3 linked regions of the Saccharomyces cerevisiae S288C genome follow. The gene in region 1 interacts genetically with each later gene. Each region holds a gene or a part of one and is shown in the gene's direction. Other genes may lie near its edges.

Region 1 (4,843 bases):
GGGCTCAAATTCTACACGAAAACGTTCCCTTACAACACCACGCATATAATGGATTCAAAAAAACTGGTGGAGTTGGCTATACATGAGAAATGCATCGGAGAATTGTTGAAGAACACCACAGTGATCGAGTTTCCCACGATATTCGTTGCCATGACAGAGGCTGACCTACCAGAGGGCTACGAGGTGCTACACCAGGAACCCCGCCCACTTGAGCATACGAGTACACTGAACAAGTTTATTGACAATGCAAGGGAGGAGGAAGACGCTGAAGAGGACTCTCAACCGACAGAAGAACCTGTACAGAAGGAAACACAGGACGCCAGCGACAGCGACAGCGACAGCGACGATGACTACAATCCGGGCTTATCCATGGATTTCCTCACTGCATGAGCCGAGATACATAAGGTTGAAGATTACTATTTAGACTATCTATCTATACGTATACACCGCAATATACAAACAGAAAAAAAAAAAAAGAAAAAGCATTCGTAAGAACTCACAGCTCCAGAGCACGAACATACTGGTACGCCAAATCACATATTTCGTTGCTGGTGTCCGGCCCCAACGAGTCGGATGAGGTTTTGTACTCCTTGGCCCGGATTTCAGCTAGGTGTCCTTCGATGCCTGCAATCTTGGTCTCAAACTCGCCCGCTTCGTCCGCCTGCAGTTCTATCAGGAGACCCTTGAACCCAGTGGAGGAGAAGAGGTTGACGAGTCGCACGGTGAGCCCGTCCAAGATCAACGTCTCACCGGCATCACCCTTGATGAGCTGCCTCTGCATCCAGATGTTGGACAGCTTGGACGACAAAATAGTGTCTATGGACTCAGGAACGCCCGTAGATGAGCCATTGAACACCAGCGCCGGAGGGATATCCGCCGCTGCGGCAGTCGTCACCATCGCTGAGTTGTCCTTGATTAGCACGGTCTGCCGGCCATGGTGGTGGAACGTTATCGAGTACATGAGCTTGGAGACATCCGCGGGTAGGTTCTTGATAGAGCACCGGTACGTCCGAAAGTCTATCGACCAAGGGTCTCGCACGGACAGGATACTATTCGAGAGAGCATCCTTCAGTTCCGTTAGTGTAGCGGGAGTGGCTCTTTCCACGAATATAACGCTATATACATAAAAGAGAGAAAAAAAAAACTGTTGTTAGCAACAGGTAGTTCAATTGAAGAAATTCCGATGCGCCACGAAGGACGCTCCAGCTTTACATACGCTGATTTTCCCATGATGGATTGCTACTGTGCTTTCGAGCGCCGACTTACAAGATTTGCTCTTCCAGTAAAATTTCACTTTGGGAATCACACCGCGAAACTGGCATACTAACGCATAAGAAAACACAAGAAGAGAAACAACGATAAAATCACGCGGCGACATCTACAGTCCACCTGCCCCTTCCTTCGCTCAATTGCACTTTCCCATGCGCACTACCCATCTATATAGCTATGTATTCTATATCCACGCCTGCAAACGCACACTGTTCGTCCTCAGCCTCTATGCGTACGAGCCAGACCCTTGCTCCCAGTAGATAACGCACGCAAAACTCAAAAGATGGCACACCGGGGGAACAAAGGAGAGTAGAGTCTACCGAACGTCACCGCTGGTACCATGCAGCCATCACTACATACTAGCATCATACTACCACGATCACAGTTCACGACACATCACGTGTGTGCTCGTTTAGCGGTCAACCCGCTATTGTTCTCCAGCCAGCTTTTATCGTTTTGCATTTTTTTTTCGGGCTGCTTTTCGTTCTTCGAGGACAAACGCACCTGTAAAGCTCAGCGCGAGGTTATATATATAGTATAATATGGTGAACAATGTAGCTTAAGTTTGCGTTCCTGTAGTGGTCACCGCTACGCTAGACAACGACCGCGGTTTTCAAGTGATCTACTGTCGCACATATCATGCCGTTTGGAATAGACAACACCGACTTCACTGTCCTGGCGGGGCTAGTGCTTGCCGTGCTACTGTACGTAAAGAGAAACTCCATCAAGGAACTGCTGATGTCCGATGACGGAGATATCACAGCTGTCAGCTCGGGCAACAGAGACATTGCTCAGGTGGTGACCGAAAACAACAAGAACTACTTGGTGTTGTATGCGTCGCAGACTGGGACTGCCGAGGATTACGCCAAAAAGTTTTCCAAGGAGCTGGTGGCCAAGTTCAACCTAAACGTGATGTGCGCAGATGTTGAGAACTACGACTTTGAGTCGCTAAACGATGTGCCCGTCATAGTCTCGATTTTTATCTCTACATATGGTGAAGGAGACTTCCCCGACGGGGCGGTCAACTTTGAAGACTTTATTTGTAATGCGGAAGCGGGTGCACTATCGAACCTGAGGTATAATATGTTTGGTCTGGGAAATTCTACTTATGAATTCTTTAATGGTGCCGCCAAGAAGGCCGAGAAGCATCTCTCCGCCGCGGGCGCTATCAGACTAGGCAAGCTCGGTGAAGCTGATGATGGTGCAGGAACTACAGACGAAGATTACATGGCCTGGAAGGACTCCATCCTGGAGGTTTTGAAAGACGAACTGCATTTGGACGAACAGGAAGCCAAGTTCACCTCTCAATTCCAGTACACTGTGTTGAACGAAATCACTGACTCCATGTCGCTTGGTGAACCCTCTGCTCACTATTTGCCCTCGCATCAGTTGAACCGCAACGCAGACGGCATCCAATTGGGTCCCTTCGATTTGTCTCAACCGTATATTGCACCCATCGTGAAATCTCGCGAACTGTTCTCTTCCAATGACCGTAATTGCATCCACTCTGAATTTGACTTGTCCGGCTCTAACATCAAGTACTCCACTGGTGACCATCTTGCTGTTTGGCCTTCCAACCCATTGGAAAAGGTCGAACAGTTCTTATCCATATTCAACCTGGACCCTGAAACCATTTTTGACTTGAAGCCCCTGGATCCCACCGTCAAAGTGCCCTTCCCAACGCCAACTACTATTGGCGCTGCTATTAAACACTATTTGGAAATTACAGGACCTGTCTCCAGACAATTGTTTTCATCTTTGATTCAGTTCGCCCCCAACGCTGACGTCAAGGAAAAATTGACTCTGCTTTCGAAAGACAAGGACCAATTCGCCGTCGAGATAACCTCCAAATATTTCAACATCGCAGATGCTCTGAAATATTTGTCTGATGGCGCCAAATGGGACACCGTACCCATGCAATTCTTGGTCGAATCAGTTCCCCAAATGACTCCTCGTTACTACTCTATCTCTTCCTCTTCTCTGTCTGAAAAGCAAACCGTCCATGTCACCTCCATTGTGGAAAACTTTCCTAACCCAGAATTGCCTGATGCTCCTCCAGTTGTTGGTGTTACGACTAACTTGTTAAGAAACATTCAATTGGCTCAAAACAATGTTAACATTGCCGAAACTAACCTACCTGTTCACTACGATTTAAATGGCCCACGTAAACTTTTCGCCAATTACAAATTGCCCGTCCACGTTCGTCGTTCTAACTTCAGATTGCCTTCCAACCCTTCCACCCCAGTTATCATGATCGGTCCAGGTACCGGTGTTGCCCCATTCCGTGGGTTTATCAGAGAGCGTGTCGCGTTCCTCGAATCACAAAAGAAGGGCGGTAACAACGTTTCGCTAGGTAAGCATATACTGTTTTATGGATCCCGTAACACTGATGATTTCTTGTACCAGGACGAATGGCCAGAATACGCCAAAAAATTGGATGGTTCGTTCGAAATGGTCGTGGCCCATTCCAGGTTGCCAAACACCAAAAAAGTTTATGTTCAAGATAAATTAAAGGATTACGAAGACCAAGTATTTGAAATGATTAACAACGGTGCATTTATCTACGTCTGTGGTGATGCAAAGGGTATGGCCAAGGGTGTGTCAACCGCATTGGTTGGCATCTTATCCCGTGGTAAATCCATTACCACTGATGAAGCAACAGAGCTAATCAAGATGCTCAAGACTTCAGGTAGATACCAAGAAGATGTCTGGTAATCAGCCCACTGATCAAGCCTTCGGCGCGGTTGTTCAACCACACGATCTGTATCAAAGAAAAATAAGTTAGATAACCAAAAAAAAAAAAAATTTCATACTCACTATAAGAAATCATACGCAGTTCAACTTTTGCTTTTACATACAATTTTATCTATATATTCGTGCTTCTGCGATGTCCTTATTTATTTAATCTCTCGTCAAAGGGTTGTTTACCTGGATAACGATACCGTTCTCATTGTTCTTAACCACGGAAACCTGTGTCAAATCACAGACCACATAATCTGCACCTGCGTCAAATAAAACGCTCTTATCATACGAGGATGTTATACCCACAGTAATTGCGCCCATTGCTTTGCCGGCCTTTATGCCCACGGGTGCATCTTCAAAGACAACATACTTCAGATCCTGTTTACCAGTTAATTGCAAATCTTGACGCAATAAATCACGAGCTCTTGAGTAACCCTCGGGATCAGGCTTACCGTTCTTCACGTCAAATCCAGTAATGAAAACTTTGGGCTTTCCAACATTTTTCAATATTGTCTCGAACCATGAAAATGCCAAATATGGAGAACCAGAGGTAACGATAGCCCATTTCCTTTCAGGTAACTTTTTTTGAGTCTCAGTATCTACATCTAACGATAACAATAAATTCTCTGCACCAGGGATAAGGCTTACTGTGTCCAAATAATTATCTGCCATATCCTTTTCTAACGCAAGAACACCTTTATTATCGGTATTGTCCAATTTTGGAAAAAATTTCTTCATCATTTCTTGTGATCTTGCACCATGGGAATGCTTGAATAACTCAACAGGATCAACCCCATGCTGACGGCATAATTTTTTCCAGGCACTTTCCGCT
Region 2 (4,043 bases), on another chromosome or scaffold:
TTTGAATTGGTGGCATTCAAACGTGTTATACATTTTGGATTGGAGTTCTCCTTCAAAAGATCATTGACTATAGGTAGCTTGAAAATATCGAATTTAATCAGTAACCTGCCCTCTGCTTCCATTTGGATATAGTATATATTGGATTTCAAGTCCATAAGTAGTAGTGTTTCGTCATTATTACTTCCTCCGTTTTTGCTCTTGGACGAAGGTATCCAAATTGACGTAGTGTTTTTCTCCCTGAACATAATTTCCAATGAAGAATTGTTGATAATTTTTGTTTTCTGTAACTCTTTATCAGCAAATGAGTTTAATAATACTGTCGATTGTAAAACGCCAGTATTATCTAGAAATGCCAGTTCATTGGTTCCCACAATGATAGCACCATTCGAAACAGGTACAATGGTGTGTAGATCCCAAGGCAGTTCCTTGACAAATGCTATTGTGGTTGATTCAATCTTGGTGGCACTTTCTGCAGGCTGGATATTTAATGTGAGTATAACGTATTGTGTAGGGAGTTTTGAAATGGTGGTGTTTCCTGCCCAAACAAGCTTTGGTTGGTATAAGAGCGCTATCGTTGGTTTAGTAAAATTTTTCAAGAACTGAATATCTATGATATTTTTGGCGCCTTCGTACAACTCACTCGCTACCAATACCACGCTTGGAGCCGTGAACTTGTCACCTAACTTGGTTCTCTTCCTCTTATTGAAAGTATTCGTCCCTTGGGATTTTTGATTCATGCTATGGATTAATTCACTATCGTCTATGTTCTCGTCCTCATCTTCTTCCTCCTCATCGTCGTCATTTTTATTGACATGGAAGGGTAGAAAAGCGATAATGTCATTATTGAACAGTAAGGCACAAGAACTTCCAGGATCCATTCTCAAGGTGGAAATTTTGGCCAGCTCTACCAACGATTTACCCTTGAACTTTCCTTCGTAGTAATGCAGGCTTAGGGTATCGATTGAGTTTGTTAGCGTGTTGAACTTTAAAATAGAGATTTTAGCGACGCCTGTGCATAAAAGCAGGCAACTTAACGGACTGTCTTTTTGGGGAATGAGGCCTATATCGGTGATCAAGCCATGAAACTTAAACTCATCAGTCAAATACAGTTTACCATCCCTAGTAGGCCTGTAGACAGAAAGGATATTTGTTCGCACCACTAAGAGCTCCTCATAATCTGAAGTAGTAAAATGTGTTGCTAATGAATGAGACACAACAGTAGCGTCAAGCACATCATCATATACATTCATAGGGCCAGTAGCTAGAGTAAAAAGCGAATCTAGGTTAGTACCTGATAGTTTTAATCAGTGAAGTGTTCAAGGGACGGTGATCTTCCTCAATTTACATATGATTGCTTTAACGCTGCTCTGTGAAATATGTCACCTCGAACTTACCTTATATTAAGATCACTTACTACGTTGTCTTATTGGGAGCCGACGGGATGAGGAAGCACAAAATGTCACTAATAGGGCTGGTCAGTGGCACAGTGAATCATAATATATCGGTTGAGCACCAGTTAAAGTATGAACATGTTAAATTTAAGACTCTCACTTATCAATGGTTACATTTTGGTCTAAATTTATTTATTTATGACACTATCAGGTACCTTGGTAAAGGAATTGAAAATAAATAGCACCCACACATCGCATGATGGCAGGAAATGAAAAATTACATCAGCGAACTAATGCTTTCTCGATGAATTATTCATCCATCAAAACGGTCTTTCAAGATTAATGTCTAGTTGCTTCAAAGATAGGCATAGTTTAGGTCATTTTATCAGCTACTGTAATATAGTCATAAGAACGCGAAAATGAAGGATGCTAATGAGAGTAAATCGTATACTATAGTGATCAAATTAGGCTCTTCATCGCTAGTAGATGAAAAAACCAAAGAACCTAAGTTAGCTATCATGTCGCTTATTGTCGAAACTGTAGTCAAATTGAGAAGAATGGGACACAAAGTTATCATCGTGTCCAGTGGTGGTATTGCTGTTGGTTTGAGGACTATGCGTATGAATAAAAGACCAAAACATTTAGCAGAAGTTCAGGCCATCGCAGCTATTGGGCAGGGTAGATTGATCGGGAGATGGGATCTTCTGTTTTCGCAATTTGATCAACGTATCGCTCAAATTCTATTGACCAGAAATGATATTCTGGACTGGACCCAATATAAGAACGCTCAAAACACAATTAATGAATTGTTGAACATGGGCGTTATTCCCATTGTGAATGAAAACGACACACTATCTGTTAGAGAAATCAAATTTGGTGACAATGACACTTTATCAGCAATTACTTCTGCTTTAATCCATGCAGATTATCTTTTCTTACTGACAGATGTTGACTGTTTGTATACTGATAATCCAAGGACAAACCCAGATGCCATGCCGATCTTAGTTGTCCCAGATCTCTCAAAGGGTTTGCCCGGTGTGAATACTGCTGGTGGTTCAGGTTCTGACGTTGGGACCGGTGGTATGGAAACTAAATTGGTTGCTGCAGATTTGGCAACGAATGCCGGTGTTCATACGTTGATCATGAAAAGCGATACACCTGCGAATATAGGTAGAATTGTCGAGTATATGCAAACTCTAGAACTTGACGATGAAAATAAAGTTAAACAAGCATATAATGGCGATTTAACGGATTTGCAAAAAAGAGAATTTGAGAAATTAAAGGCTCTTAACGTTCCACTACATACGAAGTTCATTGCTAATGATAATAAACACCATCTAAAGAATAGAGAGTTTTGGATTTTACACGGTCTTGTCTCTAAAGGCGCTGTTGTTATAGACCAAGGTGCGTACGCAGCCTTAACAAGGAAAAATAAGGCGGGATTATTGCCAGCAGGTGTTATTGATGTTCAGGGCACTTTCCATGAGTTAGAATGTGTTGACATAAAAGTTGGTAAAAAGTTACCAGATGGCACGTTAGATCCAGATTTTCCCTTGCAAACAGTAGGCAAGGCAAGATGCAATTACACGAGTTCTGAATTAACTAAAATTAAAGGTTTGCACAGTGACCAAATCGAAGAGGAATTGGGCTATAATGACAGCGAATATGTCGCTCATAGAGAAAATTTGGCATTCCCACCTCGTTGAAACGAACTAAAAAGTTATAGAGGATTCCCTTAATGATATTTCTTATATAAAACACTACCTTTATATTTCCAGGTTAAATAATGACACATTAAGCATGTTTTGTTTTTTTGAAGAATTGTGCAGAGCAGCTGTTTCTTCCTAATCCACATTAGTGTTCTTAACTCAAAAAAAAGGTAGTTGTTAACAGCTACTTTTTGTGATCCGTTAAAATCCTTCTATCTACTTATAAGCCCTAAATTAAATGAGTTGTGCGTATTTAAAATAAATGTATATTCAACCAAAGATTTGGATATCATCGTTTTTAACAGCCTCTAATTCTTCGTCATTTTCTATTCTGGCATGTTGTTCCTCATCCTCATTTTCATTAAAGTTCACTCGTTGACCTAACAATCCCGCAAAGAATTCATCGATTTGGTCGTCTGACCATTTGTATCCGGATGTGATGGGGGCTTCATAATTCGCAATTGGATCTTGAACTGAGTAGTTCAATTTCCTACCCTTGGAAGCCTTAGTATCGATATTCTTCTTTAGCTTGTTGTTCGAACGAGCATTAGTTGAGGTGATTGTAATTGCTGCACTTTCAGAATTGTGAGCGTTGGAAATCTTTTTGTCAATTAAATCGTTTAGTAAAACACGGTAAAAATCTTCGTCATCAAAAACATATGGGTTTTCGGTAATGTCAATGGCATTGTTATCCTTTCTTCTTGGGTCATAGTTTTTCGGGATATCAAGCCCATCATCCGAATTCTCATTGTCATCAACACTATCTTTGACAACGGGAGAAATCAATTCTGGTAGCCTGCCATTAGCACAGTCTTTTTGGAAATACAAAGGCGTTATGTTTCTCCTGTTCAACTTTGTTCTTTTCATCAAACGGGACATATCGGATAATTGGTTTTCGACTTGTACATCTGCAGGTAAGTTGATAGCTTTGAATTTGTTAGAT
Region 3 (4,629 bases), on another chromosome or scaffold:
AACCGAGATAGACAAAATGTTAAACTTTTCATAGAGACGTTATTGTGATAGGGTTTACGCTGAGAATGGTTGAAACATACTTGCTAATAAACCACGTCACGTCAAAATATCAGTTTTTCTTTTTTAGTTATTCCCTTCTCACTTTTGACTTGAGATGAGATCGTTACACTTTTATTGAATACGAACGGATCACGATACATCCACATATACGAATGTTCGGCCAGACAGGGCATCAGAGTATATACCCTTTTTCCTAAAATGGAAGGGCCCTAGATCGTTGGCATCAGCGGTTACCTAACCGAAGTGGATCAAATCAGCGCCTATTTTTCCGTTTAGAACGATTAGATGCCGTCAATATGTATGTGCTTACTGTATCATCCACGTAGTAAAGCTGGGGCGTAGCATCCCTAGGTTACTTTCTCAATACTGGGGTCCCTGACCAAAGATAAAACATAACCTATTATGGCGTACGAGTCAAAGTTAAACGCTATTTGACTCGGGCAGCATGCATGACCCGGGGGAATGGAAAACTTCTCATGGCTACCCCAACGAAGCCAGACAAGATCTAGGAGATGTCTCCACCTTCCGAGCTACACTCTCACATCTCTTACATAGACACTGTGAAGTAAGTGATTGCACACAATCCAAAGAAGCACATCAAATAATATGTAAATATTACCCGTACAAATGGCAAATCATGTCCACTTTCCCGTTAGTCATCGGGTGGGCCGGTCCTCGCACTTTCCTTTTGTTTCGGATGTTAATTAATATATAAATGGATCTATAATTTTCAAAAGGTATAAACGCACAGTATGAAAAATATTGCAAGAATAATGTGTTTATAAATTATTTTTTTTGCTGGTAGCAAAATCAACTCATTGTCTTCCATTCAGAGTCTAATCGAACGTTATCGCAATGCTTGCACACTTTTAAACAATACGATTTAGTTTAAGTGGATGGACCCCCACGCTTAGTGTTCCACAGGTTTGTCCCCACTGTTTTTACATTCCACTGTACATTTTTGCAATAGAAGGTCATTGTATGCTACCTTGGGCGGCTAAGAATACCTGTAAAAATTTGGAGAAATTAGATTCGTAAAGAATGACTCGCAACGACTCCAATGATTTCTTCTTTTCACCCTTTGAACGGCCGATATCCGCGCGGGATCCTGACCCCGCAATTTACTCCACTAGACCGGCGTGTTTCTCTTTTTCCTTTTCCTGGGGTTAGAGCCCAAGAGCTAATAGCCGACAAACGGACTCCAAAAAAAAAAGGAGGCACAGGACAAACGCAGCACCTGCGTCATTCACGCTGAAGCGGCAGCAAGCATTTTCGATCAGCTCCAATTAAATGAAGACTATTCGCCGTACCGTTCCCAGATGGGTGCGAAAGTCAGTGATCGAGGAAGTTATTGAGCGCGCGGCTTGAAACTATTTCTCCATCTCAGAGCCGCCAAGCCTACCATTATTCTCCACCAGGAAGTTAGTTTGTAAGCTTCTGCACACCATCCGGACGTCCATAATTCTTCACTTAACGGTCTTTTGCCCCCCCTTCTACTATAATGCATTAGAACGTTACCTGGTCATTTGGATGGAGATCTAAGTAACACTTACTATCTCCTATGGTACTATCCTTTACCAAAAAAAAAAAAAAAAAAAAAAAAAAAAAAATCAGCAAAGTGAAGTACCCTCTTGATGTATAAATACATTGCACATCATTGTTGAGAAATAGTTTTGGAAGTTGTCTAGTCCTTCTCCCTTAGATCTAAAAGGAAGAAGAGTAACAGTTTCAAAAGTTTTTCCTCAAAGAGATTAAATACTGCTACTGAAAATATGTCGTCGTCAATTACAGATGAGAAAATATCTGGTGAACAGCAACAACCTGCTGGCAGAAAACTATACTATAACACAAGTACATTTGCAGAGCCTCCTCTAGTGGACGGAGAAGGTAACCCTATAAATTATGAGCCGGAAGTTTACAACCCGGATCACGAAAAGCTATACCATAACCCATCACTGCCTGCACAATCAATTCAGGATACAAGAGATGATGAATTGCTGGAAAGAGTTTATAGCCAGGATCAAGGTGTAGAGTATGAGGAAGATGAAGAGGATAAGCCAAACCTAAGCGCTGCGTCCATTAAAAGTTATGCTTTAACGAGATTTACGTCCTTACTGCACATCCACGAGTTTTCTTGGGAGAATGTCAATCCCATACCCGAACTGCGCAAAATGACATGGCAGAATTGGAACTATTTTTTTATGGGTTATTTTGCGTGGTTGTCTGCGGCTTGGGCCTTCTTTTGCGTTTCAGTATCAGTCGCTCCATTGGCTGAACTATATGACAGACCAACCAAGGACATCACCTGGGGGTTGGGATTGGTGTTATTTGTTCGTTCAGCAGGTGCTGTCATATTTGGTTTATGGACAGATAAGTCTTCCAGAAAGTGGCCGTACATTACATGTTTGTTCTTATTTGTCATTGCACAACTCTGTACTCCATGGTGTGACACATACGAGAAATTTCTGGGCGTAAGGTGGATAACCGGTATTGCTATGGGAGGAATTTACGGATGTGCTTCTGCAACAGCGATTGAAGATGCACCTGTGAAAGCACGTTCGTTCCTATCAGGTCTATTTTTTTCTGCTTACGCTATGGGGTTCATATTTGCTATCATTTTTTACAGAGCCTTTGGCTACTTTAGGGATGATGGCTGGAAAATATTGTTTTGGTTTAGTATTTTTCTACCAATTCTACTAATTTTCTGGAGATTGTTATGGCCTGAAACGAAATACTTCACCAAGGTTTTGAAAGCCCGTAAATTAATATTGAGTGACGCAGTGAAAGCTAATGGTGGCGAGCCTCTACCAAAAGCCAACTTTAAACAAAAGATGGTATCCATGAAGAGAACAGTTCAAAAGTACTGGTTGTTGTTCGCATATTTGGTTGTTTTATTGGTGGGTCCAAATTACTTGACTCATGCTTCTCAAGACTTGTTGCCAACCATGCTGCGTGCCCAATTAGGCCTATCCAAGGATGCTGTCACTGTCATTGTAGTGGTTACCAACATCGGTGCTATTTGTGGGGGTATGATATTTGGACAGTTCATGGAAGTTACTGGAAGAAGATTAGGCCTATTGATTGCATGCACAATGGGTGGTTGCTTCACCTACCCTGCATTTATGTTGAGAAGCGAAAAGGCTATATTAGGTGCCGGTTTCATGTTATATTTTTGTGTCTTTGGTGTCTGGGGTATCCTGCCCATTCACCTTGCAGAGTTGGCCCCTGCTGATGCAAGGGCTTTGGTTGCCGGTTTATCTTACCAGCTAGGTAATCTAGCTTCTGCAGCGGCTTCCACGATTGAGACACAGTTAGCTGATAGATACCCATTAGAAAGAGATGCCTCTGGTGCTGTGATTAAAGAAGATTATGCCAAAGTTATGGCTATCTTGACTGGTTCTGTTTTCATCTTCACATTTGCTTGTGTTTTTGTTGGCCATGAGAAATTCCATCGTGATTTGTCCTCTCCTGTTATGAAGAAATATATAAACCAAGTGGAAGAATACGAAGCCGATGGTCTTTCGATTAGTGACATTGTTGAACAAAAGACGGAATGTGCTTCAGTGAAGATGATTGATTCGAACGTCTCAAAGACATATGAGGAGCATATTGAGACCGTTTAATCACTTTTCATTGCTCTCTAGGGCGTGTTCGCTTCTCTATGTAACTGCATTTCACATATATTCATATTATAGCCTTTATAACATTACATAAAAGACATGATATACGACATACTTTAAAGTTAGAATTTTTGTTGTATTAATTTTCTCGAAGGGATTAGAATGTAAGTACATTTAAATAGCGCCGCAAGAAACATAACAGCCGTTAACACTAGCAAGATGGTAGATTACTGTGTCTAAGAATTTAAATTGTTTTGCTTGCTTTTGCCACTATAAGACAATAATAGTAATAGAAAAGAAATGTTAGTCGAACAGCAAATTGGTAAAAGTGGAAAAAATTATTTCGTTATTCATTTTAGGCCGTTCAGAAATATAGCATTTTGGTTCTTGCACTGAATGGGCCCTGAGGACAGTGTGCGGCTGGATAGCCATATACTTCGACATTACTTTTCACCTTTGAAGGGGGATGTATGCTTATACACAATCAAAGCTCGGCCTGTGCAGGTTTCACTACATAAGCTTTTTTACCATAGAAATCTTGCAGAAGGAAGTAAGTATCAAGATATTACGTATCGCATCCATAGAACGATAGCAGAAAAATGCAGTATATGATAACGATATGCTTCACAGCTGCGGCCCATTTGGGGAAAAAAGGAAAAGGAGCATCCTCGATCTTACAGATGTCGCTTTTTCCTCTTGAGGTCATTCCCTAACCTTGGATCCAAGTCAATCTGGTATCTTCCCACCCTAAATAGTGTATTCCCCATGTAATAAGATCGGACGATAAACTTCGAAACAATTCTAGCCTTTTTTATTAGATATTTACTCTACTTTAGATTTGGTGATTTTACTAAATGTTATCCTTCAGCCACTACAGCCTACTTTTTCTCACTAATATGTTCTTGAAGCCATTTTCTTCACCGGGCTTTGCCGAAGGTTATTTCACGAT

What was found. A genetic interaction does not mean that the proteins touch.
Region 2: mutations in NCP1 (region 1) and PRO1 are lethal when combined (synthetic lethality), as found in Saccharomyces cerevisiae (one large-scale study listed by BioGRID).
Region 3: mutations in NCP1 (region 1) and JEN1 together harm fitness less than expected from each alone (positive genetic interaction), as found in Saccharomyces cerevisiae (one large-scale study listed by BioGRID).

What each region holds. Positions count from the first base shown.
Region 1 is NC_001140.6:188,635-193,477, forward strand, and holds NCP1 (NADPH--hemoprotein reductase), read left to right. Parts: upstream 1-1,908; coding exon 1,909-3,984; downstream 3,985-4,843. Other genes in the region: BCD1 (Bcd1p), read left to right, coding at 1-390; SRB2 (Srb2p), read right to left, coding at 497-1,115, 1,217-1,230; DOG2 (2-deoxyglucose-6-phosphatase), read right to left, coding at 4,171-4,843. UniProt on the Saccharomyces cerevisiae protein: This enzyme is required for electron transfer from NADP to cytochrome P450 in microsomes. It can also provide electron transfer to heme oxygenase and cytochrome B5. Involved in ergosterol biosynthesis.
Region 2 is NC_001136.10:1,060,559-1,064,601, reverse strand, and holds PRO1 (glutamate 5-kinase), read left to right. Parts: upstream 1-1,810; coding exon 1,811-3,097; downstream 3,098-4,043. Other genes in the region: cleavage/polyadenylation factor CFT1, read right to left, coding at 1-1,250; rRNA-processing protein BFR2, read right to left, coding at 3,371-4,043.
Region 3 is NC_001143.9:20,402-25,030, forward strand, and holds JEN1 (monocarboxylate/H+ symporter), read left to right. Parts: upstream 1-1,832; coding exon 1,833-3,683; downstream 3,684-4,629. UniProt on the Saccharomyces cerevisiae protein: Essential to lactate transport.